Saccharomyces cerevisiae S288C: one gene and its partners. Changing the gene in region 1 together with any one later gene gives a genetic interaction. Each region holds a gene or a part of one and is shown in the gene's direction. Other genes may lie near its edges.

Region 1 (7,609 bases):
TGAGCTGGATCACGCTTTTCTTCATAACCCTATCCGCTTGTCTGTACACAGGATGTTACGCTAAGGCAGTAAAGGCGTTTCACCATGAGAATCGTGATGCTAGACTAGGTCCCAAGAATTTTGGGCTTATTTGGACCACAGTATTTTTGTTAATTGTAAACGCCATTTGCTGTACTATCATGGTGGCTACTCATAAAAGAAACGAGTACATCTATGACCGCAGTTTCGCTTCTACCAAGACAGTGGACTCACAAACTCCAACTCCAGTTCCAACAAATGGAGGAATACCTTCCTCGGTGCCTGTAACTGAGGTCCAACAATCTCAATCCCACCAGAATCATAGGTTCTTTAAGAAATTGAGAACGAAAAAGAGAACTGTGACTAGCGCAGGCGATGAACCAGACCGGGTTCAAGAGGAACGCGTCTATACTGAACAGAATGTTCCTGTTGTATCATAGGGTGCAAAGGAGGCTTTTTTTTCCCTTATTATTAAAGCTAGGATTACAAATAATAACAAACCTAATTGCAGCGATTAGCCTTCTCCTATTCTCTGTTGATACCAATTTTATTTATTACTAATATTTTGCACCGATATTCCACTAATCTTTTATGTTTCCCTAAATATAATATCTTTAATTCTCAACCTCTAATAATACTAATACTATACGTCAAACAATGTAATGATACCATCTAATAAAAAGAAATCGTATTTTAACTTCCTTTTAATGTATCATACACATCTTACTAACTCTTTTTCTTTTCTTTTCACTATTTCGACAGCAATGAATTAGACACAAACCAAGAGTCTTCTGCTACACAGCACGGCTTCGGCTACCATATTGACAAATCTTATGACAGGATGCTGGGTTTGGGCCAATCTGCTCAAGCATATGCAAGTGATGATGCTCTCAATATGAACCAGGCAAAGGATAAAACGTACAGCGTTCCAGGGTGTGGCAGGGCAAGCGACCTCAAATATCCTCATCGTGACGGACACTCTTCGTCTCACGAACAGCGCTCTGGAATTTTACCAACTGAATGCCCAGGCCCTACTTTAAACACCGGTGCCGGTAGCATCGGTATCCCGGGATGTGGCAAAGTCACAAATAGAGTGGTCAGTGACTATAACAAAAACGCTAGGTCTACGCTAGCCAATTTTGATAGTAGTAAAATGACCGAGGCAAGAATGAACAGCAAGAACGTGCCGATTGGTTGTCAAGACACCTCTGATCCGCACTTCAATGGGCCTATCGACCAACATGTTCCCGGTGCAGGTTCACCTCAAAGTCAACCTCATCACATCGACGCGTGGAACAGCGTTTCTTCTCGCCGTGCCGATAATAACAACCAAGACATGATGGACCCCCAAACGGCTTCCTCAGACAGGTACAATGAGAAAATGATGAGAGAAGAAAATAGCGGCGTCTCTGCTTCTTCTTACACCACTAAAGTGCAGGGATATCCCGCAAGTATTCCATCATTCAATCAGGAAACTGAGGAAAAGGAAACCTACGCCTACGGTGTGGGTGATCGGCACAATGTCCCAAGAAACCAAATTATGGATGAGACTAATCCTTCGGCTAACGTTCTAAACGCTACTGATCATAGTATTTCGCACCCTGAGAATAAGGTCTTGCATAAGTAGTTTTTGTTTTTCCTACAGTTTTTATTTATAACCAACCTTATACTTTTATATCCTTGTCTACATATTATTGTCATAACGAATTTTTTATTGGTTAAATGCAGCTATTGCGTTCTCTTTATTGCATAAATATATTCTATTACAATATGGGAGGGCATTATCAGCCTCCATGTGCTTGCGTGCTGTCAAAGAAGGAGTGCGGGGATGACAATATGAATAGCCGCCGAAATTATGCCCGGCTGCAGTTGACCGTATAAATAACAGTGCTTCAATGAAAGGACACAAAAAGCAAGATCGTCCCATTTTCTACCTTAATCAGTATAGTAAAAATCAAAAACATAATATATTACTGTTATGATGAATAAAGTAGATCAAATCATCGGTTACAAAAAGTACGAAGTGAAACTACCAAAAGATCGACAAGTAAAGAAAAATAAATCAAAAGGTGGAAATGTTGATCAAATAGATACTAAGAGGGAAAAGGATAAAATGAGAGCTTTTGGTGAAGAAAGGAAAAAGTTCTTAGATAAAATGGCTAAAAACAAAAAAAAAAATACAAGTAGAAAAGATAGAGAGAAGCCAAAAGAAGTAGAAAAAGAAAACTACAAAAGAGAAGACAAAAGGCTAAAAGAACAGAAAAAATTATCACTGGCAAAAGAATTTCGTTTCAAAGAACCGAATTCAGAAGCCATTAATCAGAACACAGCAGCTGAAAATGGTAAACCTAAACCACAGACTGGACTAGATTTTGACATAGACCATCAAACCGTGTCCAAGATCATGATAGATCAGGCTATTCAAACATCTAGTCCTCTTAATGTCCAACTCACGGAACTTTTCAATGATAACGTCCTCGACGTCTCGAAAGATAGTCAGTTTGTCCTTCAAGACATGGAGTTCACCTCCTGGGAACGACGCTGGTCAAACTGCAGCACGACCAGTAATGCGACTACGGTCTCATCAGTTCCTGATCCCAAATATAATATCAACTACAACGACATAACCTCCTTCAATTCAGTAGCGCTAATTACCGAAGATCTTAACATATCTGCATCATCTAATGGTCTGCATGAGAGAGGTAAAAAGCTACTGCAGCAAGAGATGGAATACTCAAACAAGGTCAAAAATGTCACCATCGGGCTTGAAAGATTGTGTATGGATGAAAAACCAGTCCCAGATGCAGGAATAACCATGCAACAAGCGTCGCGCTGGTCAGAATTCCCCACTTGTTGCGATCAAGCTGCTATTTAGCTTTTCTAATTTAAAAAATTTATAAACTTCTTATAGTATTTCATCTTTATATCAAATACTATTAGCAAAATAAAAGGAAAGGAAAGGGAAAGGAACTTCTTTAGACTGCTTCGCACTGATTCTATCGCCATCCTTCTTCATGTTCTCAACTATTGGATATCTGCTCTATTTAGAACAATCGTTATTGTTACCCGCGTTAAATGGGGTAACTGATTGCTGCTTTTTTTTCTCGTTGTTTTGGACCTTTTCGGACATGAGAGGTCAAAAGAAAAAACAAACACGACCAAGTAAGCCGGAATAAACAAGTATAACCACCTGATTGAATTGCCTTCTTTAAACAAGCACAGACCTCCAAAAAGAAAAGGCTTTTGAAACGCTGCTCACGCACAGTTGTTTATTCCGTCCACATATTTTACGTGTCAGTTTCCTTTCTGTCTTCTCTTTATTCAATCAATTAGCATTAAAGAGAAAATAAGTCGTGTACTTTGAAAACCTTCTGTTCCTGTTTTCTTCCCGTATTTTTCATTTGCTTCACCAGCTTTTTCTCAACTGATCATATCATTTCAAGTTAAAAGTCTTTGTCATCACTTTTCTGTGAGTTGCAAATATTTGTAAGCGTCACTTACCTAGAGCAGCCTTTATCGATCAATATTTCAGAGGGAAAAACCTGTATCTCTTAGCATGCAAAGTTCAGTTTATTTTGACCAAACAGGGTCATTTGCGTCCAGTAGCGACAACGTTGTGTCTAGTACCACCAACACACACAACATTTCTCCCAGTCATCGTTCCAGTTTGAATCTGAACACTACTTCTCATCCCCACGAAGCGTCGGGTAGAGGAAGCGCAAGTGGGGAGTTGTATTTGAATGACACAAACTCACCCTTAGCGATATCTTCTATGCTAAACACACTTGCCCTTGGAAGTATGCCCCAAGACATTGCAAGCAGCAACATTAGCAATCACGATAACAACATTAAGGGGAGCTACAGCCTAAAATTGTCAAATGTAGCCAAGGATATTACTCTCAGAGAATGCTATGCAATCTTCGCTCTTGCTGAAGGTGTGAAAAGTATAGAATTACAGAAAAAAAACTCTTCATCAAGCATCACTTCTGCCTCATTAGAAGACGAGAATGATATTTTTATCATTGCCAGATTTGAGTTATTGAATCTAGCTATTAATTATGCCGTTATTTTGAATTCGAAAAATGAACTCTTTGGACCCAGTTTTCCCAATAAAACAACCGTTGAAATAATAGATGACACAACAAAAAACTTGGTTTCATTCCCATCATCTGCCATTTTCAATGACACCTCAAGATTGAATAAATCGAACTCGGGAATGAAAAGGCCAAGTCTGTTATCACAAAGATCCAGGTTTTCATTCAGCGATCCATTTTCCAATGATTCTCCTTTAAGCCAACAGCAATCTCAACAGCAGCAGCAACAGCCACAACAGCCACAACAACACTCTACGCAAAAACATTCACCACAACAATGTAATCAACAACAAGTGAATTCTTCAATACCGTTATCTTCTCAAGGCCAGGTTATTGGGTTACATTCTAACCATTCACATCAAGATTTGTCTGTGGAATCAACAATTCAAACATCTGATATTGGCAAATCTTTCCTTTTGAGAGATAACACTGAAATTAATGAAAAGATATGGGGCACAAGCGGTATACCTTCCAGCATCAACGGTTACATGAGCACTCCCCAACCTTCTACGCCAACTTTAGAATGGGGAAATACTTCTGCATCCCAACATGGTTCTTCGTTCTTTTTACCCTCTGCAGCATCGACAGCCATTGCACCTACGAATAGCAACACCAGTGCCAATGCAAACGCCAGCTCCAACAATGGAGCCAGCAATAATGGTGCTAACCAGGCACTCTCTGCCAGCTCGCAACAACCAATGATGCAAATTGGTAACACGATTAACACTTCCCTAACCTCTTCAAATTCATTGCCTCCATACGGTTTAATGTCTTCTCAATCGCAGCACATTTCAAATATGGTAAACACCTCTGATATGAACATTACACCTCAAAAACAGAACAGATTTATGCAACAACCCCAACCAGAGCATATGTATCCTGTGAATCAAAGTAACACTCCTCAAAAAGTACCGCCCGCAAGATTAAGTTCAAGTAGAAATTCACACAAGAATAACTCTACTACCTCATTATCCTCAAATATTACTGGATCTGCCTCGATTTCTCAGGCTGATTTGTCACTACTAGCCAGAATTCCACCTCCTGCCAACCCTGCTGATCAAAATCCACCTTGTAATACCCTTTATGTAGGGAATTTACCCTCCGACGCTACTGAGCAAGAACTAAGACAGCTATTTTCTGGTCAAGAAGGCTTCAGAAGACTATCATTCAGGAATAAGAATACCACATCTAATGGTCATAGTCACGGACCGATGTGCTTCGTTGAATTCGATGATGTCAGTTTTGCAACCAGAGCGTTAGCTGAATTGTATGGTAGACAGTTACCTCGCTCCACTGTGAGCAGTAAGGGAGGTATCAGATTAAGCTTTTCAAAAAACCCACTGGGTGTTAGGGGCCCAAACAGCAGAAGAGGAGGCAGTGGTAACCCAAATCCTAATGTAAATATGCTTTCCAGTTACAATTCTAATGTTGGTCATATAAAAAACTAAAAAAATGGTTCCGCAAAAACCTGATTTCCTTGCATGTATCACATTATATGCATTGCTTTTCATCTTTCCCCCACTATAATAAGAATAATATTTTCTGTCGCATTTTTTCTTTTTCTTTTATTATTTGTTATAATAATATTTTCTAAACCGACTAATAATAAGAATAACATCGATAATACTTTATCTCTTCAATTACGTTAAATTATCTTTTTACTATTACATTACAACGTGCATATAACAGAAATTTTTTCTTTTTCTGTCTAACATTTGAATTGTACTATGAATTAAACCCGCCATCTTTTTTCTTAACTACCATTTTGCGAACTCCTATACCGCTTCTGCAACAACAAGAACTTTTATTTTCAATTTTAATGTGCCATTCATTCCATTTTGCTTGCGCTAATGTGAATAAGATTGAGAGGGAAAAGTCTCACTATCGAATATCGCTCTTTAGTGTGATTATTGTCATCAAAGCACCAAGTGCTTAGGTGAGGTCATATCCGACAAATGTTTTGAAGAGAGAATATCTTTTTTTTATGCTGCCAACTTTTATTCTTTCCTTGTTTAAAAAACTCTGCCTTTGGATATTCTCCCACTATATATATGTATTAGCCTTACTTTTATTCCAGAACTCATTTTTATAGAAGTATATATCGGTATCGACTTCAATGTAATATTTTCAACCCTATGCTACAAGAGCAGATTAAAAAAATATGGGCTACCAGTGGCAAGAACATATTTGATATTTCGAAGTTCTACTTTGTTTATGACCGAACTGATCAATTTTATGAATGTCTTTCAATGGAATCTCAATACGGGTAATAACGTCATATTTCTTATTTTTCTTGGACAATTTGTCCAAAATAAAATTTTCACGACTTTTCTCCTTCAAGTACCGCGACTTCTGCGATAGTTGTCCGTTAGACATAATAATCATTAACGCATCCATAAGGTGCTTGCGGTCTGTATTTGACTTTCTTCACATTCTTACGCCTAGACTGAATGGGAAAACAACCAAGAAACCAAAAAGGAACCTGAGAACACAAAGAGTATTTGACGAAAAGTTACACTCACATAATGCATCACCAAACTAAGTTAGATGTATTCATAATCAGAGCTTATAATTTACTGTCTAACGAGTCTGTCATTAGTGGTGCTTCCTTGCAGAGTGTTACAAACTCGCCACAGACGACAACGAACACGCCCTCAGGTATGGTTAACGGGGCGGTTGGAACAGGGATAGCTAATCCAACAGGGTTGATGGGGTCTGATAGCACACCTAACATCGATGAGATTATAACTAGCACTGGTAGTAATGCTCTGACGAAAACCAACTCAGATAGCGCTAATGGTACGCCGAATGGTAATTCAAGTTCTACCTCAGCCATTAGCAATGCAAGCAATCCTGCCACTACTGGTAATAATGCGAGCTCTAGTGCCACCTCAAATGGAATATATACGCAAGCGCAATATTCTCAACTTTTCGCCAAAATATCAAAACTATATAACGCTACACTATCATCTGGGTCAATTGACGATAGATCAACATCACCAAAATCGGCAATCGAACTATATCAAAGATTTCAACAGATGATTAAGGAACTAGAGCTGAGTTTTGACGCAAGTCCTTACGCAAAATACTTCCGCCGGTTGGATGGAAGGCTTTGGCAAATAAAGACAGACTCAGAATTAGAAAACGATGAATTGTGGCGATTAGTCTCAATGAGCATATTTACAGTATTCGATCCTCAGACCGGCCAAATTCTAACTCAAGGACGCAGGAAGGGAAACTCCTTAAATACATCAACTAAAGGCTCCCCATCAGATTTACAGGGAATAAACAACGGGAACAATAATGGGAACAATGGTAATATTGGAAATGGGAGTAATATTAAGAACTATGGAAATAAAAACATGCCAAACAACCGAACGAAAAAAAGAGGCACCAGGGTGGCTAAAAATGCTAAAAATGGGAAAAACAATAAAAATAGTAATAAAGAGAGAAACGGCATTACAGATACGAGTGCATTCAGTAATACAACAATAAGC
Region 2 (6,759 bases), on another chromosome or scaffold:
CGCAATTAAAAGAAATTTATCATACCCCACTGCTCGAACTTACTCATGCAGCACAATTGCAGCACAGAAAGTGGCACGATCCAACCAAAGTGCAATTGTGCACATTGATGAACATCAAATCTGGTGGTTGTTCTGAGGACTGTAAGTATTGTGCGCAGTCTTCGAGAAACGATACCGGTCTAAAGGCTGAGAAAATGGTTAAAGTGGATGAAGTGATTAAAGAGGCAGAAGAGGCCAAAAGAAACGGATCTACTAGATTCTGCCTAGGTGCTGCATGGAGAGACATGAAAGGTCGTAAATCAGCCATGAAAAGAATTCAGGAAATGGTGACCAAAGTGAATGATATGGGGCTAGAAACGTGTGTTACTTTAGGTATGGTTGATCAAGATCAAGCAAAGCAATTGAAAGATGCAGGTTTGACTGCATACAACCATAACATCGACACTTCCAGAGAACACTATAGTAAGGTCATCACCACGAGAACCTACGACGACAGGTTACAGACCATCAAGAATGTCCAAGAATCTGGAATAAAAGCCTGTACCGGTGGTATTTTGGGTCTCGGTGAAAGCGAAGACGACCATATAGGATTCATCTACACATTATCCAATATGTCTCCTCATCCTGAGTCCCTACCAATTAATAGACTAGTTGCTATCAAAGGGACTCCAATGGCTGAGGAACTTGCCGATCCAAAGAGTAAAAAGTTGCAATTCGACGAAATTTTGAGAACCATTGCCACAGCGAGAATAGTTATGCCAAAGGCCATTATAAGACTTGCCGCTGGTCGTTATACAATGAAAGAAACAGAGCAATTTGTCTGTTTCATGGCAGGTTGTAACAGTATCTTCACCGGTAAGAAAATGCTGACGACAATGTGTAACGGTTGGGACGAAGACAAGGCAATGTTGGCTAAATGGGGATTGCAACCTATGGAGGCATTTAAGTACGACAGATCTTGAAGATAGGGATATGTGGATAATTCTACGATTCTAACTGTACATTTCTCCCTTATTTATTAAGAAAACCTATATATATATATATTTACCTATTTATTCTGCCATCGTTAGCTGGCGTTTTATCTTTTATGCATCCAATATCTAATATTACTTCCGATCACGCATTTAGTTCTGATTACAGCAGAAATCGTAGCGCGATGAGACATTTCATCAAATGGCCTTTTTTTTTTGGGCAATTTTTTTATATCTTGAAATGATAGTTGCCTTGTACTTTCAACCGTTCATTTCATTAAGAACTTGACTAAATATGAACATTTCTTAAAAAAAAGGTTGACATATAAAAATAATCGAATATAAACGATGGAATTTTTATAAAATTAAACACATATATATATATATATTAACTATAAATATGTCAAAGAAACCATACAATCATAGATTTATAACTATCTTTTGGATGACATTAATGAACATAACGCTCCTAATACAAATGTCCAAAAAATATTACCCGCAAATACGAATCTTTTTTTTTTCTCGATGAAATTTTGCAAAGAGTTCGAAATTTTTATTTCAAGAGCTGGTAGAGAAAATTTCATAAGGTTTTCCTACCGATGCTTTTATAAAATCTTCGTTTTGTCTCACATATACCAACAAGAGTAACGATGTTTTCTTTACCTACCCTAACCTCAGACATCACTGTTGAAGTCAACAGTTCCGCTACCAAAACCCCATTCGTCCGTCGTCCGGTCGAACCGGTTGGTAAGTTCTTTTTGCAACATGCTCAAAGAACTTTGAGAAACCACACCTGGTCTGAATTTGAAAGAATTGAAGCTGAAAAGAACGTCAAAACCGTTGATGAATCCAATGTCGACCCAGATGAGTTGTTATTCGACACTGAATTGGCCGATGAAGATTTACTGACTCATGATGCTAGAGACTGGAAAACTGCCGATTTGTATGCTGCTATGGGTTTGTCTAAGTTGCGTTTCAGAGCTACTGAAAGTCAAATCATCAAGGCTCACAGAAAACAAGTTGTCAAGTACCATCCAGACAAGCAATCTGCTGCTGGTGGTAGTTTGGACCAAGATGGCTTTTTCAAGATTATTCAAAAGGCCTTTGAAACTTTGACTGATTCCAACAAGAGAGCTCAGTACGACTCATGTGATTTTGTTGCCGATGTTCCTCCTCCAAAGAAGGGTACCGATTATGACTTTTATGAAGCTTGGGGCCCCGTTTTCGAAGCTGAAGCTCGTTTTTCTAAGAAGACTCCTATTCCTTCTCTAGGTAACAAAGATTCTTCCAAGAAGGAAGTTGAACAATTCTATGCTTTCTGGCACAGATTTGACTCCTGGAGAACCTTTGAGTTCTTGGACGAAGATGTCCCAGATGACTCTTCTAACAGAGACCACAAGCGTTACATTGAAAGAAAGAACAAGGCCGCAAGAGACAAGAAGAAGACTGCTGATAACGCTAGATTGGTCAAACTTGTTGAAAGAGCTGTCAGTGAAGATCCCCGTATCAAAATGTTCAAAGAAGAAGAGAAGAAGGAAAAGGAAAGAAGAAAATGGGAAAGAGAAGCCGGTGCCAGAGCTGAAGCTGAAGCTAAGGCCAAGGCCGAAGCTGAAGCGAAGGCTAAAGCTGAATCTGAAGCCAAGGCTAACGCCTCCGCAAAAGCTGACAAAAAGAAGGCTAAGGAAGCTGCTAAGGCCGCCAAGAAAAAGAACAAGAGAGCCATCCGTAACTCTGCTAAGGAAGCTGACTACTTTGGTGATGCTGACAAGGCCACCACGATTGACGAACAAGTTGGTTTGATCGTTGACAGTTTGAATGACGAAGAGTTAGTGTCCACCGCCGATAAGATCAAGGCCAATGCTGCTGGTGCCAAGGAAGTTTTGAAGGAATCTGCAAAGACTATTGTCGATTCTGGCAAACTACCATCCAGCTTGTTGTCCTACTTCGTGTGAATACCGTAAGAAATGGAATAGAATATATACGAATGTATACGAATATTATAGAGAACGTTCTCTTTTATTTCTATAATGAATAGGTTCGGGTAACGGTTCCCTTTTTAGGTATTTCTAGAAGATGAGAGAAGAGGGAATAATGAGAAAGGCGAAAAATAAAGGACACCTTTAACGAAAGATCAAAGGTGTCCTTATTTACTTACAATAGCTGCAATTAGTACGACTCAAAAAAAGTGAAAACAAAACTGAAAGGATAGATCAATGTCTTACAGAGGACCTATTGGAAATTTTGGCGGTATGCCAATGTCATCATCGCAAGGACCATACTCTGGCGGTGCACAATTCAGATCAAACCAGAACCAATCCACTTCTGGCATCTTAAAGCAATGGAAGCATTCTTTTGAAAAGTTTGCCTCCAGAATTGAGGGGCTCACTGACAATGCAGTTGTTTATAAATTGAAGCCTTACATTCCAAGTTTGTCAAGATTTTTCATTGTGGCCACCTTTTATGAAGATTCGTTTAGGATCTTATCACAATGGTCAGATCAAATTTTTTATCTGAATAAGTGGAAGCATTACCCATACTTCTTTGTCGTTGTGTTTCTAGTGGTTGTTACCGTTTCCATGTTGATTGGCGCCAGTTTGTTAGTTTTAAGAAAGCAAACCAATTATGCCACCGGTGTGTTATGTGCTTGCGTTATTTCTCAAGCATTAGTTTATGGGTTGTTTACGGGTTCATCATTTGTCCTAAGAAACTTTAGTGTTATTGGTGGGTTGTTAATTGCATTCAGCGATTCAATTGTTCAAAACAAGACAACATTCGGTATGCTTCCTGAATTAAACAGCAAAAACGACAAAGCGAAGGGTTACCTGTTGTTTGCTGGTAGAATTTTAATTGTTTTAATGTTTATCGCTTTCACTTTCAGTAAATCATGGTTTACTGTTGTTTTGACCATTATCGGCACAATATGTTTCGCCATTGGTTACAAGACAAAATTCGCATCCATTATGTTGGGTTTGATACTAACTTTTTACAATATCACGCTAAACAACTACTGGTTTTATAACAATACTAAGAGAGATTTCTTGAAGTATGAGTTTTACCAGAACTTAAGCATCATTGGTGGGCTTCTATTAGTTACTAATACTGGCGCTGGTGAATTATCCGTTGATGAAAAGAAGAAGATTTACTAGATTGTAAAGGAAATCTTTTCTTTATGTCCCTTCTGTTCACTCATCTTCTAACAATCTATTTCGTTTTGCCTTCTTGTGATCGCTTTCAATACCCTGCTAGCTCACATATATACTTTTCTTACTGTCATATCTACATAAAAGATTTCTTTTTGTATAGGCGCACTTAACGAAATTTGATTGGTCTCACGTTGGCTTGTATATTCTACCTTCAATCAATGTGGTTATATCGCACAGAATTCCCTTGTATTATGATAGAACTTATTTATTGTAATTAGTTTTGATTTGACCATTTTCGTTGGTCCGTAATTGTTTTACACTGTCACTGCTTAAATCATTGAAGAGATGCTCTTGAGATAGCATCCGCTCTCCTATCTTTCCAAAGAAACGCTTTAAAGTCGCTTTAAGCAATCTCTAAAGTTTAAAAATTCCTAATAAATAGCTCTTTAGCAACTATTGTAAACCGCAATAATGGGCACACCCAAACATATTATTTGAAATTTTTTCCACCTCATCGCTTGAAAACACCATGTTGAAATTGGGATATTAAGTAGAGGAGGTAATTGATACCAATGAGGTGAAACACATCTACCAAGGGAAGTGTAGCATAATAGGGGAAGATGGCAGTAAAACATAAATCCGAGAGCCTTAAGCACGAAGAGGGGGCTGCCAAAAAGGCAAAGACAGGCCTATTGAAGCTAAAAAAAATCATGGATATAGAATCTAATGTGGTCAAATATTCCATATGCATACCGACAACTGTTATCGACAATTGTAATAATTTGGAGCAAGTTACATTTACTGCATATCAAATAGCTCGGACAGCTGTATTGTTCAATGTTCAAGAAATCATAGTTCTAGACCAGTCAAAAGATAAAAAGCATGAAAAAAAATCAAGATCAAAGGAGACTATCTCTGATTGTTTATTACTTGCCACACTATTACAATATTTTGTAACGCCTCCAAACTTACTGGATACTACATTCAAAAAAAAAAACAAGTTATATTTAAAGTGTGCATCTACCTTTCCGCCATTGAACCAGCTACCTTTTATGAACGCATCTGCCGAACAACACTACAAGGAAGGCTTATCAATCGCACGAGATAGCTCAAAAGGTAAATCTGATGATGCTCTAACAAATTTGGTGTATATAGGAAAGAATCAAATTATTACGTTATCTAACCAAAATATTCCCAATACTGCGCGTGTAACAGTTGATACAGAGCGCAAAGAAGTAGTGTCACCCATAGATGCTTACAAAGGAAAACCACTCGGCTATCATGTTCGAATGGCAAGCACTTTGAATGAGGTGTCCGAAGGTTACACAAAGATCGTTTGGGTCAACAGTGGTGACTTCCACTACGACGAAGAGTTGTCAAAGTACCACAAGGTAGAAACAAAGCTACCATACATCGCAAAACTGAAAAAAAGTTCAACATCAGAAAAACCCTGTAATATCCTGCTTATCTTCGGGAAATGGGGCCATTTAAAACGTTGTTTCAGGAGATCTGACTTAGAATCCTCTTCTTTGCATCATTACTTTTCTGGTCAACTGCAATTCCCTGCTTCCGTACCCCAGGGAAATATACCCATTCAAGATAGCCTACCCATAGCTCTTACCATGTTTCAGCGTTGGGCAAGTTGAAATAAATAGCAATTAATAACTGATATTACTATTTATGTTATATAATCATCGTTTTCTACGGATATGCAGTTCTATTTTTAGTAAAAGAAACGTTAAAATTTTTCTTTCAGTTTTTCGCCCTGAAAAAGAGAAAAATGTCACGAAGAAAACAAGAGGATATTTGTTTATTTTGATTTTAACTGCCTCCTTATAAAGAAACTTTTCCTCATTCACAATTTGGACTTCTTCTTGTTTTTTTCAATATAAGTTTATTGAGATAGACAACTAACCAAAAAGAAAAACGGTCAAAGATGCGTTTCTCTACTACACTCGCTACTGCAGCTACTGCGCTATTTTTCACAGCCTCCCAAGTTTCAGCTATTGGTGAACTAGCCTTTAACTTGGGTGTCAAGAACAACGATGGTACTTGTAAGTCCACTTCCGACTATGAAACCGAATTACAAGCTTTGAAGAGCTACACTTCCACCGTCAAAGTTTACGCTGCCTCAGATTGTAACACTTTGCAAAACTTAGGTCCTGCTGCTGAAGCTGAGGGATTTACTATCTTTGTCGGTGTTTGGCCAACAGACGACAGTCATTACGCTGCTGAAAAGGCTGCTTTGCAAACCTATTTGCCAAAAATTAAAGAATCCACTGTTGCTGGTTTCTTGGTTGGTTCTGAAGCCTTATACCGTAACGATTTGACTGCCTCTCAATTATCAGACAAAATTAATGACGTCCGTAGTGTCGTTGCTGACATTTCCGATTCTGACGGAAAGTCATACTCTGGTAAGCAAGTCGGTACTGTCGATTCCTGGAATGTTTTGGTTGCTGGTTACAATTCTGCCGTTATCGAAGCTTCCGATTTTGTTATGGCTAACGCGTTCTCCTACTGGCAAGGTCAAACCATGCAAAATGCCTCTTACTCATTCTTTGATGATATTATGCAAGCTCTACAGGTTATCCAATCTACTAAAGGTTCTACCGATATTACCTTCTGGGTTGGTGAGACCGGTTGGC
Region 3 (11,317 bases), on another chromosome or scaffold:
GTAGCGACGTTGAAGATGCAAGCAACGCAAAGGTTGGGTATGAAACACAGATTAAAGACGAAAATGGCATAATCCATACAACAACTCGCTCTTTGAGAAAAATAAACTACGCAGAAATTGAGAAAGTGTTTGATTTTTTGGAAGATGACCAGGTCATGGACAAAGATGAGACGCCCGTTGATGTTACTAGTGATGAACATCATAACAACAACCAGAAAGGCGATGATGAAGACGATGATGTTGATCTTGTATCACCGCACGAAAACGCCAGAACGAACGAAGAGCTTACTAATGAAAGGAACTTGAGAAAAAGAAAAGCGCATGATCCAGAAGAAGATGACGAAAGTTTTCATGAGGAAGATGTCGACGATGATGAAGAGGAGGAAGAAGCAGACGAATTTGAAGATGAGTATTTGGATGAAGACTCGAAGGATAACAACCGTCGGCGCAGAGCGGCCGATAGGAAATTTGTAGTACCAGACCCTGATGACGATGAAGAATACGATGAGGATGACGAAGAAGGAGACAGAATAAGCCATTCGGCTTCTTCTAAACGTTTGAAAAGGGCAAATTCTCGAAGAACAAGATCGTCACGTCACCCAGAAACTCCACCACCGGTAAGAAGAGCTTTAAGAAGTAGGACAAGACATTCGCGTACTTCAAATGAAGAAAATGACGATGAGAATGATAATAGCAGGAATGAAGCGTTAACTTTAGCTGATGAAATTAGAGAGTTACAGGAAGATAGTCCTATCAGGGAAAAAAGATTTCTTCGCGAAAGAACTAAGCCGGTAAATTACAAATTACCACCACCACTAACTGCTAGCAACGCAGAAGAATTTATAGATAAGAATAACAATGCACTTTCTTTTCATAACCCATCACCTGCACGGCGTGGTCGCGGTGGTTGGAATGCTAGTCAAAATTCTGGTCCCACAAGAAGGCTTTTTCCCACTGGTGGACCTTTTGGTGGCAATGACGTAACTACAATATTTGGTAAGAATACTAATTTTTACAACCAAGTCCCATCTGCATTCAGTGATAATAACAACAATAAATTAATACTGGATTCAGACTCTTCCGATGATGAGATATTACCTCTTGGCGTGACACCGAAAACAAAGAAAGAGAACACGCAAAAAAAGAAGAAGAAAAAACCAGAAATTGCAGACCTCGATCCATTAGGCGTAGACATGAATGTAAATTTTGACGATATAGGTGGTTTAGACAACTACATTGACCAATTAAAGGAAATGGTGGCCTTACCACTATTATACCCAGAATTGTATCAAAATTTTAATATCACGCCCCCAAGGGGTGTTCTTTTCCATGGTCCTCCTGGTACGGGTAAAACACTTATGGCAAGAGCGTTAGCAGCAAGTTGTTCTTCTGATGAAAGGAAGATCACATTTTTTATGCGTAAAGGTGCAGATATTTTATCCAAGTGGGTTGGTGAAGCTGAAAGACAACTCCGTTTGTTATTCGAAGAAGCTAAAAAACATCAACCTTCCATCATTTTTTTTGATGAAATCGACGGATTAGCGCCTGTGAGAAGTTCCAAACAAGAACAGATCCATGCTAGTATTGTTTCCACATTATTAGCGCTGATGGATGGTATGGACAATAGAGGCCAAGTCATTGTCATCGGAGCCACAAATCGACCCGATGCAGTGGATCCCGCATTAAGAAGGCCGGGAAGATTTGATAGAGAATTTTATTTTCCATTACCTGATGTTAAAGCACGTTTTAAAATTTTGCAAATTCAGACCAGGAAATGGAGTTCACCGTTGTCAACCAACTTCATTGATAAATTGGCTTTTTTGACCAAAGGATATGGTGGTGCTGATCTGAGGTCCCTATGCACTGAGGCTGCACTAATAAGTATACAAAGAAGCTTTCCTCAAATTTATAGGTCAAATGATAAACTCTTGGTGGACCCTTCTAAGATTAAAGTCAAAGTTAGCGATTTCATGTTAGCTTTGAAAAAAATTGTTCCGTCATCTGCGAGATCTACTGGTAGTTCTCCTCAGCCACTACCTGAATTAATCAAACCATTACTGGCAGATCAACTTAATAATTTAAAGAACAAGCTGGATTATATGCTGAACATTAAAGACACAACTTTTCAGAGAAACACATCATTGCTACAAAATTTCATCGATTATGAAGAATACAGTGGAGAGGAAGAAGAGCATGACAAATATGGAGGAAATGAAGATACATCCAGTTTTAGATCATATGAGTTTTTCGAATCGATGGCGGAATCACAAATTTGTAAACCTCGGTTATTAATAAATGGGCCCAAGGGAAATGGTCAACAATATGTCGGAGCCGCAATTTTAAATTATTTAGAAGAATTCAACGTCCAAAACCTGGACCTTGCCTCTTTGGTTTCGGAAAGTTCTAGGACTATTGAAGCTGCTGTAGTGCAAAGTTTTATGGAAGCAAAGAAAAGACAGCCCTCAGTTGTATTTATTCCTAATTTAGACATTTGGATCAACACTATTCCAGAAAACGTTATTTTAGTCTTATCAGGTTTGTTCAGATCTTTACAAAGCAATGAAAAAATTCTTCTATTATGCTTAGCTGAAAATCTTGATATATCTGAAGTTAAAAATGGTATTTTATCTGATTTTGCTTTTGATAAAAATATCTTTCAACTGCATAAACCATCCAAAGAGAATATAACGAGGTATTTTTCTAATTTAATTGAACTACTGAAAACAAAGCCAAGTGATATTCCCATGAAAAAGAGAAGAGTCAAACCGTTACCTGAATTACAAAAAGTAACTTCAAACGCAGCTCCAACAAATTTTGATGAAAATGGTGAGCCACTGTCTGAAAAAGTGGTATTAAGAAGGAAGTTGAAATCTTTTCAACACCAAGATATGAGATTGAAAAATGTGTTAAAAATCAAACTCTCAGGCTTGATGGATCTTTTTAAAAACAGATATAAAAGGTTTAGAAAACCACCTATTGATGATGCCTTCTTGGTTCATCTTTTCGAACCAGAGACAAGCAATGATCCCAATTGGCAACCTGCATATATAAAAGATGAGAACATGATTCTGGAGGTTTCAACAGGGCGAAAGTTTTTTAACATGGATTTGGATATTGTCGAAGAGAGACTTTGGAATGGCTATTACTCAGAACCAAAACAGTTTTTAAAAGACATTGAACTGATATACAGGGATGCAAATACCATTGGGGACAGAGAACGTGTCATTAAGGCCTCTGAGATGTTTGCCAACGCGCAAATGGGTATCGAAGAAATTTCAACCCCGGATTTTATTCAAGAGTGTAAAGCTACTCGCCAAAGGGATTTGGAAAGGCAGGAACTTTTCTTAGAAGATGAAGAGAAAAGAGCTGCAATGGAATTAGAAGCCAAAGAACAGAGTCAAGAAAATATACTGCAAGAACCTGATTTAAAGGATAACAAGGCTAATGAGTTTGGTGTAGCTGCTGGTAATCAATTGCAAGCTCAGCTGCAAACAACTATCAATACAGCCTCTATCGTTAATAACAGCGAGGTCCCTCAACCAATTGATACCAACCTGTATAAAAAGGAGATTCCTGCGGCAATTCCCTCTGCAGTAGATAAAGAAAAAGCGGTCATCCCTGAGGATAGCGGTGCAAATGAAGAATACACAACGGAACTGATACAGGCCACTTGCACGTCAGAGATAACCACCGATGATGATGAAAGGGCCAGAAAAGAACCAAAAGAGAATGAAGACTCTTTGCAAACGCAGGTTACGGAAGAAAACTTCAGCAAAATAGACGCTAATACTAATAATATAAATCACGTAAAGGAAATTCAATCGGTTAACAAACCAAATTCCCTCCACGAAACGGTAGAAAAAAGGGAACGAAGTCCGATACCAAAAGAGGTTGTGGAACCGGAGCAAGGGAAGAAGAGCGACAAGGAGCTTATTTTGACGCCCGAACAAATAAAAAAAGTATCTGCATGCTTAATCGAACACTGTCAGAATTTTACGGTTTCTCAATTAGAAGATGTTCATTCGTCCGTTGCAAAAATAATATGGAAAAGTAAATCAGCATGGGATAAAACAGGAACTGTCGATGAAATAATAAAATTTTTATCTGAATAAGCAGGAGTCCATAATGTTTATATAATTCTTAAATGTAGTTAGTTCATATACATGAATGTGCACTTTTCTTGAAAAGAAATAGATTTAAAACCACACCTTGTATATATATTATGCTTTTTTCCACTACTTTATTTTAACAGTCACTGTTCTGGCATACGTTTCGGGTAATGACCGAGAATGGAATATGTATTGAACATATTGAAATTAAACATGTTCATAATATCTTCTAACACCATTGGAATTGTGAGAAGTAGATCCGTACCATCAATAGCCGGCTCAAGATGTCAACTGAATACTCTGCTGATTCATCTAAATCATTTATGATTGCAATGCAATCTATGATTGATACTTCACAAACCTTTAATCTAGATAGATCGAAAATCTCTTTACCAGATTTTGATGACGAGCTAAAAAAAGTCCAAAAGGATGAACAAAATCAAAGAACTGAACTAACTGTTCTCTCACAAGATAGAAATGATTGGGATGATATATTTGAGGAGTTTAAAGACATTTCATTTGCTCAACTGCAATCTATAATTGATTCATACAAAACAAAGAATGCAGTTGCAGTATATAAAAAAATTGGAAAACTAATCAATGAAGCTGAAACGACACTAAGCAGCAATGTATTATTAGAAACTGTACTGCAAATGGTTTATAAACATCAAAAGCAAGAGTTAGAGAAAGAATTGTTGGATTTTTTAGGAACAGGGAATATAGACCTTGTTTCTCTGTTACTTCAGCATAGAAGAATGATCGTTGCTACACCTATAGAAACGACGATTCTGCTAATAAAAAATGCGGTCAATTCAACGCCAGAGTTCCTGACACAGCAAGATATCAGGAATCAAGTTTTGAAAAGTGCAGAGGATGCCAAGAATAGGAAATTAAATCCCGCCACTAAAATAATCAAGTACCCACACGTCTTCAGAAAATATGAAGCAGGATCCACTACAGCTATGGCCTTTGCCGGTCAAAAATTCACTTTGCCAGTAGGGACTACAAGGATGTCGTACAATACCCATGAAGAAATTATAATTCCGGCAGCAGATCAGGCATCCAACAAGAACTATCTCTATACAAAACTATTGAAAATAAGTGATTTGGATCATTTTTGCAAGACTGTATTTCCCTATGAAACTTTAAACCAAATACAATCCCTTGTTTACCCCGTAGCTTATAAAACAAATGAAAATATGCTAATTTGTGCACCTACTGGTGCAGGTAAAACAGACATTGCATTACTGACAATAATTAATACAATAAAACAATTCTCCGTGGTCAACGGGGAAAATGAAATTGATATTCAATATGATGATTTTAAAGTTATTTATGTTGCCCCTTTGAAAGCACTCGCTGCTGAAATCGTCGACAAGTTTAGTAAGAAATTGGCGCCTTTTAATATACAAGTAAGGGAGTTAACAGGCGATATGCAATTGACAAAGGCGGAAATTTTAGCCACTCAAGTAATAGTCACAACCCCTGAGAAATGGGACGTTGTCACCCGTAAAGCAAACGGCGACAACGATTTGGTTTCAAAGGTCAAATTACTAATTATTGATGAAGTTCATTTACTGCACGAAGATAGAGGTTCGGTTATTGAAACTTTAGTTGCACGTACCTTGAGACAGGTAGAAAGCTCTCAATCAATGATTCGTATTATCGGTCTATCAGCTACATTACCCAATTTTATGGATGTAGCAGATTTCTTAGGAGTAAATAGACAGATCGGAATGTTCTATTTTGATCAATCATTCCGTCCAAAGCCTCTAGAGCAGCAACTTTTGGGCTGTAGAGGTAAGGCAGGTAGTAGACAAAGTAAAGAGAATATCGATAAAGTCGCTTACGACAAATTGAGTGAAATGATTCAAAGAGGGTACCAGGTAATGGTATTTGTCCACTCAAGAAAGGAAACTGTTAAAAGTGCAAGAAACTTTATCAAACTAGCAGAATCTAACCACGAAGTTGACCTTTTTGCACCTGACCCTATCGAAAAGGATAAATATTCTAGAAGTTTAGTGAAGAACAGAGACAAGGATATGAAGGAGATTTTTCAATTTGGTTTTGGTATCCATCATGCTGGTATGGCCCGTTCAGATAGAAATCTTACTGAAAAAATGTTTAAAGACGGTGCTATCAAGGTACTGTGTTGTACTGCAACATTAGCATGGGGTGTTAATTTACCTGCTGATTGTGTTATCATCAAGGGTACACAAGTATATGATTCTAAAAAGGGTGGATTCATAGATCTAGGTATTTCAGATGTTATTCAGATTTTTGGCAGGGGTGGTAGGCCGGGCTTCGGTTCCGCAAATGGTACGGGTATTTTATGTACTTCCAATGATCGTCTGGATCATTATGTTTCCTTAATTACTCAACAACACCCTATCGAATCTAGATTCGGTTCCAAGTTGGTTGATAACCTGAACGCCGAAATTTCATTGGGGAGCGTGACAAATGTAGATGAAGCAATCGAATGGCTTGGTTACACATACATGTTTGTTCGTATGAGAAAAAATCCTTTTACTTACGGTATTGATTGGGAGGAAATTGCAAATGACCCGCAATTATATGAACGGAGGAGAAAAATGATCGTAGTAGCTGCAAGGCGATTACATGCTCTCCAAATGATTGTGTTCGATGAAGTGTCAATGCATTTCATTGCAAAGGATTTGGGCAGGGTGTCCTCTGATTTTTATCTTTTGAACGAATCCGTCGAGATATTCAATCAAATGTGTGATCCCAGAGCCACCGAAGCTGATGTATTGTCCATGATCAGTATGAGCAGTGAATTTGACGGTATAAAATTTAGAGAAGAAGAATCCAAGGAGTTGAAGAGACTTTCTGATGAATCTGTTGAGTGCCAGATTGGAAGCCAACTTGACACCCCTCAAGGTAAAGCAAACGTGCTATTACAGGCTTATATTTCCCAGACTAGAATTTTTGACTCAGCACTATCATCCGATTCGAATTATGTTGCTCAGAACTCTGTTAGAATTTGTAGAGCATTGTTTTTAATAGGTGTCAATAGAAGATGGGGTAAATTTTCAAACGTCATGCTAAATATTTGCAAATCTATTGAAAAGAGGCTCTGGGCCTTTGATCACCCTCTCTGTCAGTTTGATTTGCCTGAAAATATTATCAGACGCATCAGAGATACTAAACCTTCCATGGAGCATCTTTTAGAATTAGAGGCAGATGAGCTCGGAGAGCTGGTGCATAATAAGAAGGCCGGGTCTAGGTTATATAAAATATTGAGCCGATTTCCAAAGATTAATATAGAAGCTGAGATTTTCCCCATTACAACAAATGTAATGAGGATACATATTGCATTAGGTCCAGACTTTGTATGGGATTCCCGGATACATGGTGATGCACAGTTTTTTTGGGTTTTCGTTGAAGAATCTGATAAGTCGCAAATCCTTCATTTTGAAAAGTTCATCTTAAACAGAAGGCAGTTGAATAATCAGCATGAAATGGACTTCATGATCCCATTGTCAGACCCTTTGCCTCCGCAGGTTGTCGTAAAGGTTGTGTCGGATACTTGGATTGGCTGTGAATCGACCCATGCCATCTCTTTTCAACATTTAATCAGACCATTTAACGAAACTTTACAGACAAAATTGTTGAAGTTACGTCCTCTACCTACATCAGCCCTCCAGAATCCTTTAATTGAGTCAATTTATCCTTTCAAGTATTTCAATCCCATGCAAACTATGACATTTTATACACTTTACAATACCAATGAGAATGCGTTTGTTGGCTCGCCTACAGGTTCTGGTAAAACGATTGTGGCTGAATTGGCTATATGGCATGCCTTCAAAACATTTCCTGGGAAAAAGATTGTTTATATCGCACCAATGAAAGCATTAGTACGTGAAAGGGTTGATGACTGGAGAAAGAAAATAACACCAGTGACCGGAGATAAAGTTGTAGAGTTAACCGGTGATTCTTTGCCAGATCCTAAAGATGTGCATGATGCCACCATTGTTATTACAACTCCAGAAAAGTTTGATGGTATTTCCCGTAATTGGCAAACTCGTAAGTTTGTTCAAGATGTATCTTTAATTATCATGGATGAAATTCATTTGTTGGCTAGTGATCGTGGTCCTATCTTAGAAATGATTGTTAGTCGTATGAATTATATTTCCTCTCAAACCAAGCAACCGGTCAGACTGCTAGGTATGTCAACTGCTGTTTCAAACGCCTACGACATGGCTGGCTGGTTGGGAGTTAAGGACCACGGACTGTATAACTTCCCGTCAAGCGTCCGTCCGGTTCCATTGAAAATGTACATTGATGGATTTCCAGATAATTTGGCATTCTGTCCTCTGATGAAAACAATGAACAAACCTGTGTTTATGGCCATTAAACAACATTCACCTGATAAACCAGCATTAATATTTGTTGCATCGCGTAGACAAACTAGACTAACGGCTTTAGACTTGATCCACTTATGTGGAATGGAAGATAATCCACGTAGGTTTTTGAATATAGACGATGAGGAGGAACTGCAATATTACTTATCACAGGTCACTGACGACACTTTAAAGTTATCACTCCAGTTCGGTATTGGATTGCATCATGCAGGTCTAGTGCAAAAAGATCGTTCTATTTCTCATCAGTTGTTTCAAAAAAACAAAATTCAGATTCTGATCGCTACATCAACCCTAGCGTGGGGTGTCAATTTGCCAGCTCACTTGGTTATCATCAAAGGTACACAATTTTTTGATGCAAAAATTGAAGGATATAGAGATATGGATTTAACAGATATCTTGCAAATGATGGGGAGAGCTGGTAGACCGGCTTATGACACTACAGGTACTGCTATCGTTTATACAAAAGAGTCCAAAAAAATGTTTTATAAACATTTCCTAAACGTTGGTTTTCCTGTCGAGTCCTCCTTGCACAAGGTATTAGATGATCATTTAGGTGCAGAAATAACGTCAGGTAGCATAACTAATAAGCAAGAAGCGTTAGATTTTTTGAGTTGGACATTTTTGTTTCGTAGAGCGCATCATAACCCGACATATTATGGCATTGAAGATGATACAAGTACAGCAGGAGTCAGTGAACATTTGAGTTCTTTGATAGATAGCACATTAGAAAATCTGCGAGAATCACAATGTGTTTTATTACATGGAGATGATATTGTTGCTACGCCATTCTTAAGTATATCCTCATACTACTATATTTCACATTTAACGATACGCCAATTATTGAAACAGATACATGATCATGCGACTTTTCAAGAGGTATTACGATGGTTATCGTTGGCTGTTGAGTATAATGAATTGCCTGTAAGAGGTGGTGAAATTATCATGAATGAAGAAATGTCGCAGCAATCGAGGTACTCCGTTGAAAGCACTTTTACCGATGAATTCGAATTACCGATGTGGGATCCACATGTAAAAACATTTTTATTACTTCAAGCTCATTTAAGCCGTGTAGATTTACCGATTGCAGATTATATCCAGGATACCGTATCAGTTTTGGATCAATCTCTACGTATTCTACAGGCTTATATTGATGTCGCCAGTGAATTGGGTTACTTTCATACGGTATTGACCATGATAAAGATGATGCAATGCATAAAGCAAGGGTATTGGTATGAAGACGATCCTGTTAGTGTACTTCCAGGATTACAACTGAGAAGAATCAAAGATTACACTTTTAGCGAGCAGGGGTTCATTGAAATGACGCCGCAGCAAAAGAAGAAAAAGCTGTTAACCTTGGAGGAAATAGGAAGGTTTGGATATAAGAAATTATTAAATGTTTTTGATCAACTAACTTTTGGAATGACAGAAAGCGAAGATACGAAAAAACGTTTCGTCAGTGTCTGCCAAAGATTACCGGTTTTAGAAGGCATGAAATTTGAAGAACAGGAAAATAACGAGGTGTTAACATTTTATAGCAAGCACCTTTCTAGTAAGCATAATAATGGGTTTGAAGTATATTGTGATAAATTCCCTAAGATACAAAAAGAACTATGGTTTTTAATTGGACACAAAGGCGATGAACTGCTGATGATTAAAAGGTGTCAACCAAAACAAATGAATAAAGAGGTCATAATACATTGTGATCTATTTATTCCCGAAGAAATTCGTGGCGAAGAATTGCAATTTTCCCTTATTAATGACGCTTTAGGATTACGTTATGATATGGTCCATAAACTAATCTCTTAGTGAGACACAATTAAAACAACAATTATTTTGTGAAAGATAACAGTGGAAATCTATCTAGTATACATCTTCGTATATATTTTCTTACATAACGCATTTAGAATTTTTTTACTCAAAAAAGTCATCCTTTTCATCTTCTCCCACAACTTGATCCAATTCTTTTCTATCCTGTGTAGGTGATACTTGTGATCCATCCTCATGATCTTTATCAGGTGATAATGTTAATCCGATGGAATCTTCATCCAATTTCTTTCCCTTCAATATCTCTTCGAAAGATACGTTTAAGGTGTTCGCATCCATTCTTTCAGCTACTAATTTAAGAAATTGTTCTCTTCTAAGATTTGTCAATTCTACGCCCTTTGGGTCTGTAGATGGTGTATCATTCGGATATAGTGCAATATACTTTTCAGTTTTGGGAAAATTTATCACGTAACATAATTCAATTTTAGTGGCTCTCAACTTTTGTTGTAAATCTTTATCATCTGCGCCAGATTCTTTTATTTTCTTCAATAATCTGTTATATTTTCTCAATGCTTTTTTTTTTTCAAAGAATCTCACCATATGATATTTTTTAGCGTTGGCTTTAATCTTATTCTTGAGTTCATTATTCTGCAATTCCAACCGTAAAGCTTGCAAATTTCTTTCCTTTTCTATTATTACTGTGGATGGAAGTATATCTTTCTTCTTTTTTAATAACCTCTCTAAATCTCTTATTCTTCTTTTAATTTTGTTTGTTCCTGCATCCATTATCTGGGACATCTCTAGAGATGACCCAAGAGCCTTGCTTCTCTTCCTCTGTAATTTAGCCATTGATTGATTAGGTTTATTGAATGATATAAGTAAAATAACTAAGTCACGATATTTGTTTTATGTATTGTTTAATTGTAGAGATGAGATGAGTATGAAAATTTTTTTGAATGTGTTTTTCTTAGTGCTCCGGCATAGGGTACCGCAGAAATTAAAGGAATACATATTTTTGAGCTTCAAGCACTTTTTATAATCTTAGCGTACTTATCTTTATAT
Region 4 (7,114 bases), on another chromosome or scaffold:
ATATATGGTTCCTCCGTACCACCCAAACGTGTAGTTTTGATGTTTTCAAGTCCATAATTAACTCTATCCTGTGAGGTCAAATCAATCATCTCATTGGTACTACCAGGTCGGTTTTGGTTTCGTGCAGTGAAGGTAGACGAGTGTCTAGGTGAAGTAGTATCTGATTCAACGGTACCACCCATTTCGGTACTCTCTTTATTAATGATATGGGGTGTACGAGATCGTATAGTAGATGGAAGAATATTGTATTCAGATATGTCGGCATCAACTTCTTTTGGTGCACGTACTTTTTGGACTGGTTCCTTGTCTAATTGTAAAGGGTTTATTGATTGGGACGAGAAGTCGTTCACTAGAGGATCAGAGTTTATTTCAATCTCCGATTGATAGTCATGATCAGATTCTGTATTTTGATCATATGACTGCTCTGTTTCATTTTGTTCAATAAAAGATTGGTTATGGGCTGTTAAACGATTGAGATCATCATCAAAAGTGAGTGTATCGTAGTCGAACTGGTCCAATTTCGTTTGCTTGTTTTGTAATATAACGTAATTGGTAGTATCTACTGTCTTTTTTAATGATGGAAGATAGATAATATAGCCATAAGAGTTTCGTGACGGATGTAAGGCGTAACCTGGAATGCCACGAGGATGTATTTTCGAGTCGGGATTATGGTTGTTAACTATAACCGGTTGACCGAAAGGTAGTATAGTAGTAATGTCCAGTCCAGCTAAACCTGCATGTTGTCTTGCAGATTTATCGTTTTTTTGGTGAGACTAATGAATTTCTGATTATAGTAGAAAATTCGACTGCTGAGAACCATAGATGATTTGGTAGACCACTGCAATGAAGCAGTGTGCGACAATCGTTTAATAAAGTACGATTTAATCGTTCAGCGACACCGTGTGCTCTAGAATCTGCCGTGGTTGTATAGCATGCAGTAATACCTCTGTTCGTAAAGAACTTATGAAGAGTTTTGTTAGTGTACTCGGAGCCACGATCCATCTGGATAACTAGAACGCGAGCATTGAATTGGTTCTTAATAAATGCTAATATCGATGTAAAAACATTGAGGATAGATTCTTCACGACGGTCGTGTAATGGGTACACCCATTGGAATCTGGTTTTCTCATCTGTAAACGATATAAAGTAAGAAGGTGCACTTTTCGGTAAGTGATGTACAGGACCAAATATATCGGTGTGCAAGTACTGAAAAGGCTCATATGATTCTTGGTACTTTAGTCGTGATCCTTTGACATGTCTATGTTTCGTGCTTTTGCCGATTAGACAGTCAGGACATTGATATGTGCTAGCGTTAGACCATTCAATATCCGATTCCTTCAAATATGTAACTGCATTCTTCTTAAGAGACTTCTGAATACTTCGGAAGTTAGCATGTCCAAGCATTCGATGTATTAACGGATATGGATATTTATTTACGCTTTTGCTTTTGTTGACGTTGTTTATTGTTAGCTTTGAAATGTGCGAAGGAATTAGGTATTTTTTAGATAACCAGTAAAAGTCTCCATGTTTGACTATGGGAGCTAGTACTGTACCATCCGATCTTTCTAAAGTGTTTCTGGTAAAGCAGGCAGTAATATTTTGATTAGCCAGCTCACTCAAACTTAATAGATCATAGGCTATGTTTGGTGTGTGTAGTGCTTTTATTGATGTTTTGGTGCCGTTCTGAAAGTTGAAGTGAAGATTACCAATGGCATTTATAGGAATGTCTTGTTTTTGAGCATCGACTATGTTTATTTCAGAATTGGGTGTTGCATGGTGTAAATAATGGGCTGATCTGACAAGCGTTTGCGAAGCTCCTGAATCAATAAGAAGGTGATCAGGTAGTTCGTCATTCGAGTCTATTGTGTGTGTTGGCTTAGATTCTTTCTGTTGCTGGCCTAAGACTAAGTTCGTCGTCATCGCTTAAGTATTGTGATGAAACGGTTGATTCATTAATGTGATCATTGTTCACCCTTGAGAATTTACTAGATGTAGCAATATTGTGAGCTTTTGCTGCTCTTGGTTTTGAACTATTTGTTCTATGATAATTACGAGTTGTAACCTTTGTGTTAGTCGTGTTTGGAGATGTGCGAGAAACATTTTTGTATTCGCTGTGTTGTTTGTATTGGGACGGTTTATTTAGATTCATGATTTTATTTTCGTCATATATTAATTGAATTTCAGCGAATAATTGGGAAAGTTTCATGTTCGTTTTGGTACGATATTGATTACGTAGGTATTTGAAGTCACCGGATAGACCTTTAAGTATTAGTTGACAGGCCAATCTGTCGCTAACATTGATATTGTTTTCTTTTAGCCTCTGAATGATCGTACTGACTGTAATTTCAAATGTATCAGCAGATGTACTTCCGTCGTACTCAAGGTTGGCAAGAGCTATCCAATCCTTTAATTCTTGATTGTTAGTTTGCATTTTGGACACACTTTTACAAAGGACTGTAAGGATGTCAGCATAATTAATTTCTAAAATTTGTTTTACCCATGTTGGCAATAAATGAAATGGGGCAAATGCTTGGAAGGTATTGTATATATACGCATGTTCTTCATAAGTCATTTGTCTTTTGATTTCACCCTGGTCATTTGGAATGATGTCACCGAGATTAGAGTTCTTCAAAAATCTGATGTAAAATTTAACCCATGTAGAAAAGTTTTCTTCTGATGTTAAAGTGTGTGGTGGTAAGACGTTATTTCCCACCTTTGTCTTAGCTTGAGGTATTTCAGAGTGTTGATTTTTTAAATCGATTGGATCAGGTGAGGAAGTACTCAGTGGTGGGATATACTGTGGCAACGGATAGTGTGGGTCCGGTTGATAATACGCAGGTGACGTTTGATAATGTGAACACGTCATCATAGATGGTTGTTGGTAATGTGCCCAGTTAGAGGCCATAGCTTTGTTTGGGGTCATCATGCCGTGCTGTTGGTACTGTCCATTCTGTGGAGGTGGTACTGAAGCAGGTTGAGGAGAGACATGATGATGGTTCTCTGGAACAGCTGATGTCCCAGGTGTTGTCTCTTGTTGAGAATTAACCTTAGTGGAATCTCTATCAAATTCCGGTAAATTGGAAGCTGAAACGGCTAACGGATCTTGATTTTATGGGACTTCCTTAGAAGTAACCGAAGCATAGGCGCTACCATGAAGAGAATGTGGATTTTGATGTAATTGTTGGGATTCCATTTTTTATAAGGCGATAATATTAGGTATGTAGATATACTAGAAGTTCTCCTCGAGGATTTAGGAATCCATAAAAGGGAATCTGCAATTCTACACAATTCTATAAATATTATTATCATCATTTTATATGTTAATATTCATTGATCCTATTACATTATCAATCCTTGCGTTTCAGCTTCCACTAATTTAGATGACTATTTTTCATCATTTGCGTCATCTTCTAACACCGTATATGATAATATACTAGTAACGTAAATACTAGTTAGTAGATGATAGTTGATTTTTATTCCAACAGTATTTATGTTTTGTCATTCTTTTCTACATAATCTTGAAACTAGGTAGATCTACAATTGAAAAGTAAATACTAACATTATTTACTAAATTTAAGTTAGAAATCGGCACGAAAAAAATTTGACAGATTACGAGAGTCCAGCCAAAATATGAGTATATTACTATTTCCCCTTGGTGAAAGAAATGAAAGATGTTATTTTTTACCGGCTTAGTAATACTGAGCTACTTACTTGGGGGAAAGAAAGATTGGCTACTTATTATGTATGAAGCCTCAGATTACCTTGAATTCCTCAACCGTTTGAGCAGTATGCTCTTCAAATTCGAACTTTTTGAACATCTTTCCTCCACATTCCTGATTTTTTCACATTCAAAACGCGCTGTGAAGCTGTTAGAAATTTACAGATCGAGGCATATTTCTATATATAATGTATTTTTATTAAGACACCCAAAGTACTTCCAATCTGTAGATATTGCACTTTATCTGACCAGAAGCCAGACTTGAACAGTTACATATTGTGCTTTGCAGTCGTTAAATTTCCCGAACTGTTTTCGTATTTTTTTTTCTTTTCCTCTTTTCCACTGGATCAGATCAAAAGCCGACTAAAAATTTGGCAATTTAAAGAAAGCATCTTTTAAAGATAGAAAAGGTTATTTCAACAAAAAAGTATCTTTTCTTCACTTTTCTTTCAACAATTCAAAGATGGCTAGAACCATAACTTTTGATATCCCTTCCCAATATAAACTCGTAGATTTAATAGGTGAGGGAGCGTACGGAACAGTATGTTCAGCAATTCATAAGCCTTCCGGCATAAAGGTAGCTATCAAGAAAATACAACCGTTTAGCAAAAAATTGTTTGTTACAAGAACTATACGTGAGATCAAGCTTTTACGGTATTTCCATGAACACGAAAACATAATAAGTATATTGGATAAAGTAAGGCCAGTATCCATAGACAAACTAAACGCTGTTTATTTAGTCGAAGAGTTGATGGAAACCGATTTACAAAAAGTAATTAATAATCAGAATAGCGGGTTTTCCACTTTAAGTGATGACCATGTTCAATACTTTACATACCAAATCCTCAGAGCCTTAAAGTCTATTCACAGTGCACAAGTTATCCATAGAGACATAAAGCCATCAAACCTGTTACTAAATTCCAATTGTGATCTCAAAGTCTGCGATTTTGGACTAGCGAGGTGTTTAGCTAGCAGTAGCGATTCAAGAGAAACATTGGTAGGATTCATGACGGAGTACGTCGCAACGCGATGGTACAGGGCACCCGAGATAATGCTAACTTTTCAAGAGTACACAACTGCGATGGATATATGGTCATGCGGATGCATTTTGGCTGAAATGGTCTCCGGGAAGCCTTTGTTCCCAGGCAGAGACTATCATCATCAATTATGGCTAATTCTAGAAGTCTTGGGAACTCCATCTTTCGAAGACTTTAATCAGATCAAATCCAAGAGGGCTAAAGAGTATATAGCAAACTTACCTATGAGGCCACCCTTGCCATGGGAGACCGTCTGGTCAAAGACCGATCTGAATCCAGATATGATAGATTTACTAGACAAAATGCTTCAATTCAATCCTGACAAAAGAATAAGCGCAGCAGAAGCTTTAAGACACCCTTACCTGGCAATGTACCATGACCCAAGTGATGAGCCGGAATATCCTCCACTTAATTTGGATGATGAATTTTGGAAACTGGATAACAAGATAATGCGTCCGGAAGAGGAGGAAGAAGTGCCCATAGAAATGCTCAAAGACATGCTTTACGATGAACTAATGAAGACCATGGAATAGTATTCACAAGAACATTTCTGCCATACTTCTAAAATTTCCCTATATTCAGCTTAGCAGTGACACGTTGTGGTCTGTAGGTCAATATGTAAGTAAGAAACTTCAACTCACATATGCACGATGCATGCCAATGGAAAAATGCAAGGAACGAAATGGCGCCACGGCAACAAGTTTTTTTTTTTCGCCAGCAGAAGTACACGAAATGCGGCTTCATGAGCCTCTTCACTGCTTTGCCTAAACGGGAAATGCAGAGAAAAACCAGCCATCGCGTGTGCTTGGAGAGCTGACGCGACTGTAATCAAAGAGGCGATATCAACACCTTTTATCCAGCACTATTCAACAGTGAATGGGCTCCCAAGTAAGTCTTGGCATTGTGCTTTCTATTCTTAAGTATTAAGTAGAAGTTTTGTTTACTGGGTTTGTTTATTCCTGGCTAGATGTTCGCATTCGTTTTCTAGTTGACCATATTTACCAAATATTCACAACTAATACCCAGCCAAGGTAGTCTAAAAGCTAATTTCTCTAAAAGGGAGAAAGTTGGTGATTTTTTATCTCGCATTATTATATATGCAAGAATAGTTAAGGTATAGTTATAAAGTTTTATCTTAATTGCCACATACGTACATTGACACGTAGAAGGACTCCATTATTTTTTTCATTCTAGCATACTATTATTCCTTGTAACGTCCCAGAGTATTCCATTTAATTGTCCTCCATTTCTTAACGGTGACGAAGGATCACCATACAACAACTACTAAAGATTATAGTACACTCTCACCTTGCAACTATTTATCTGACATTTGCCTTACTTTTATCTCCAGCTTCCCCTCGATTTTATTTTTCAATTTGATTTCTAAAGCTTTTTGCTTAGGCATACCAAACCATCCACTCATTTAACACCTTATTTTTTTTTTCGAAGACAGCATCCAACTTTATACGTTCACTACCTTTTTTTTTACAACAATTTCATTCTTCATCCTATGAAATGACGAAAATAACCAGAGATGTTTCGATAACGACAGAAAATTCAAAATCCACATCTGGATCGGCAACGGCTTCATCCGCATCTTTACCTGAGAACGACCACCCAATATTCCATCAACCGCGAGCAAGAATAAGATCTGGTTCGCTGTTCATCGAAGGATCTGATTCATTTCCATCATCAGAAGTGAAGTCATACAATGTTTATATTGATGATAGCAAGTATAGTGAAATCCTCAAAGGAGATACAAATTCAAGTAGTACTGATGGTAAACAAGTCTTTGAAGATGCTAGAGATGACAATTTCCATCAGGAATCACATAGAGATCTAGAGGATTCAATTTTAGATTTAGTACGACGAGATCCAGAAGTAGCAGCATTCCCTTTACCTCCGCCAAATTCAAATGAGAGGAACAGAAATTCCTCAAACGGGTCTTCCGCTGAAACTAACCTAAATGGACACAGCAGCAGCGGTACCATCTCTACTTCGGTGCTGTTGAATATGGGTTCGGCAGAAAAGCACGCTGGGACGACCAGAGGAGATCATATGGAATCATCTTCAATGAAATCCTTCGAGAAACTGGGAACCAGACCTTCTTCTTTATTCTATCCACCACCCGAAGGAACTGCGCCGTACCAGGGACCAAGGGCTACCGTCTCCGGAAATAAGTCTACAAGGCAAACACAAGGTACATACTCATTTCCTTCTATGCGGTATGGTGTAGATCTTGTTTCTCCTGTGGAAGGGGCTGTTGATGTAGCAAAAAGCAGAGTTCCTAACAGCACGCTAAATGGTACTTTTCCCGATAAAGCGTTTATCCCACATGAATTTCAAATTCCTAAAAAGG

What was found.
Region 2: mutations in WHI3 (region 1) and ERV29 together harm fitness more than expected from each alone (negative genetic interaction), as found in Saccharomyces cerevisiae (2 studies listed by BioGRID).
Region 3: mutations in WHI3 (region 1) and SLH1 together harm fitness more than expected from each alone (negative genetic interaction), as found in Saccharomyces cerevisiae (2 studies listed by BioGRID).
Region 4: mutations in WHI3 (region 1) and KSS1 together harm fitness more than expected from each alone (negative genetic interaction), as found in Saccharomyces cerevisiae (2 studies listed by BioGRID).

Annotation. Positions count from the first base shown.
Region 1 is NC_001146.8:265,559-273,167, reverse strand, and holds WHI3 (mRNA-binding protein WHI3), read left to right. Parts: upstream 1-3,574; coding exon 3,575-5,560; downstream 5,561-7,609. Other genes in the region: YNL194C (uncharacterized protein), read left to right, coding at 1-458; YNL195C (uncharacterized protein), read left to right, coding at 860-1,645; SLZ1 (Slz1p), read left to right, coding at 1,997-2,893; GCR2 (Gcr2p), read left to right, coding at 6,638-7,609. UniProt on the Saccharomyces cerevisiae protein: Involved in size control and cell cycle.
Region 2 is NC_001139.9:1,058,016-1,064,774, reverse strand, and holds ERV29 (protein ERV29), read left to right. Parts: upstream 1-3,184; coding exon 3,185-4,117; downstream 4,118-6,759. Other genes in the region: BIO2 (biotin synthase), read left to right, coding at 1-962; ZUO1 (zuotin), read left to right, coding at 1,622-2,923; UPA1 (putative methyltransferase), read left to right, coding at 4,735-5,760; BGL2 (glucan 1,3-beta-glucosidase), read left to right, coding at 6,051-6,759. UniProt on the Saccharomyces cerevisiae protein: Constituent of COPII-coated endoplasmic reticulum-derived transport vesicles. Required for efficient transport of a subset of secretory proteins to the Golgi. The C-terminal di-lysine motif is required for exit from the endoplasmic reticulum.
Region 3 is NC_001139.9:1,027,398-1,038,714, forward strand, and holds SLH1 (RNA helicase), read left to right. Parts: upstream 1-4,393; coding exon 4,394-10,297; downstream 10,298-11,317. Other genes in the region: chromatin segregase YTA7, read left to right, coding at 1-4,112; EFG1 (Efg1p), read right to left, coding at 10,403-11,104. UniProt on the Saccharomyces cerevisiae protein: Involved in activation of the ribosome quality control (RQC) pathway, a pathway that degrades nascent peptide chains during problematic translation.
Region 4 is NC_001139.9:571,217-578,330, forward strand, and holds KSS1 (mitogen-activated serine/threonine-protein kinase KSS1), read left to right. Parts: upstream 1-4,181; coding exon 4,182-5,288; downstream 5,289-7,114. Other genes in the region: YGR039W (uncharacterized protein), read left to right, coding at 3,672-3,983; BUD9 (Bud9p), read left to right, coding at 6,271-7,114. UniProt on the Saccharomyces cerevisiae protein: Together with closely related FUS3, KSS1 is the final kinase in the signal transduction cascade regulating activation/repression of the mating and filamentation pathways, induced by pheromone and nitrogen/carbon limitation, respectively.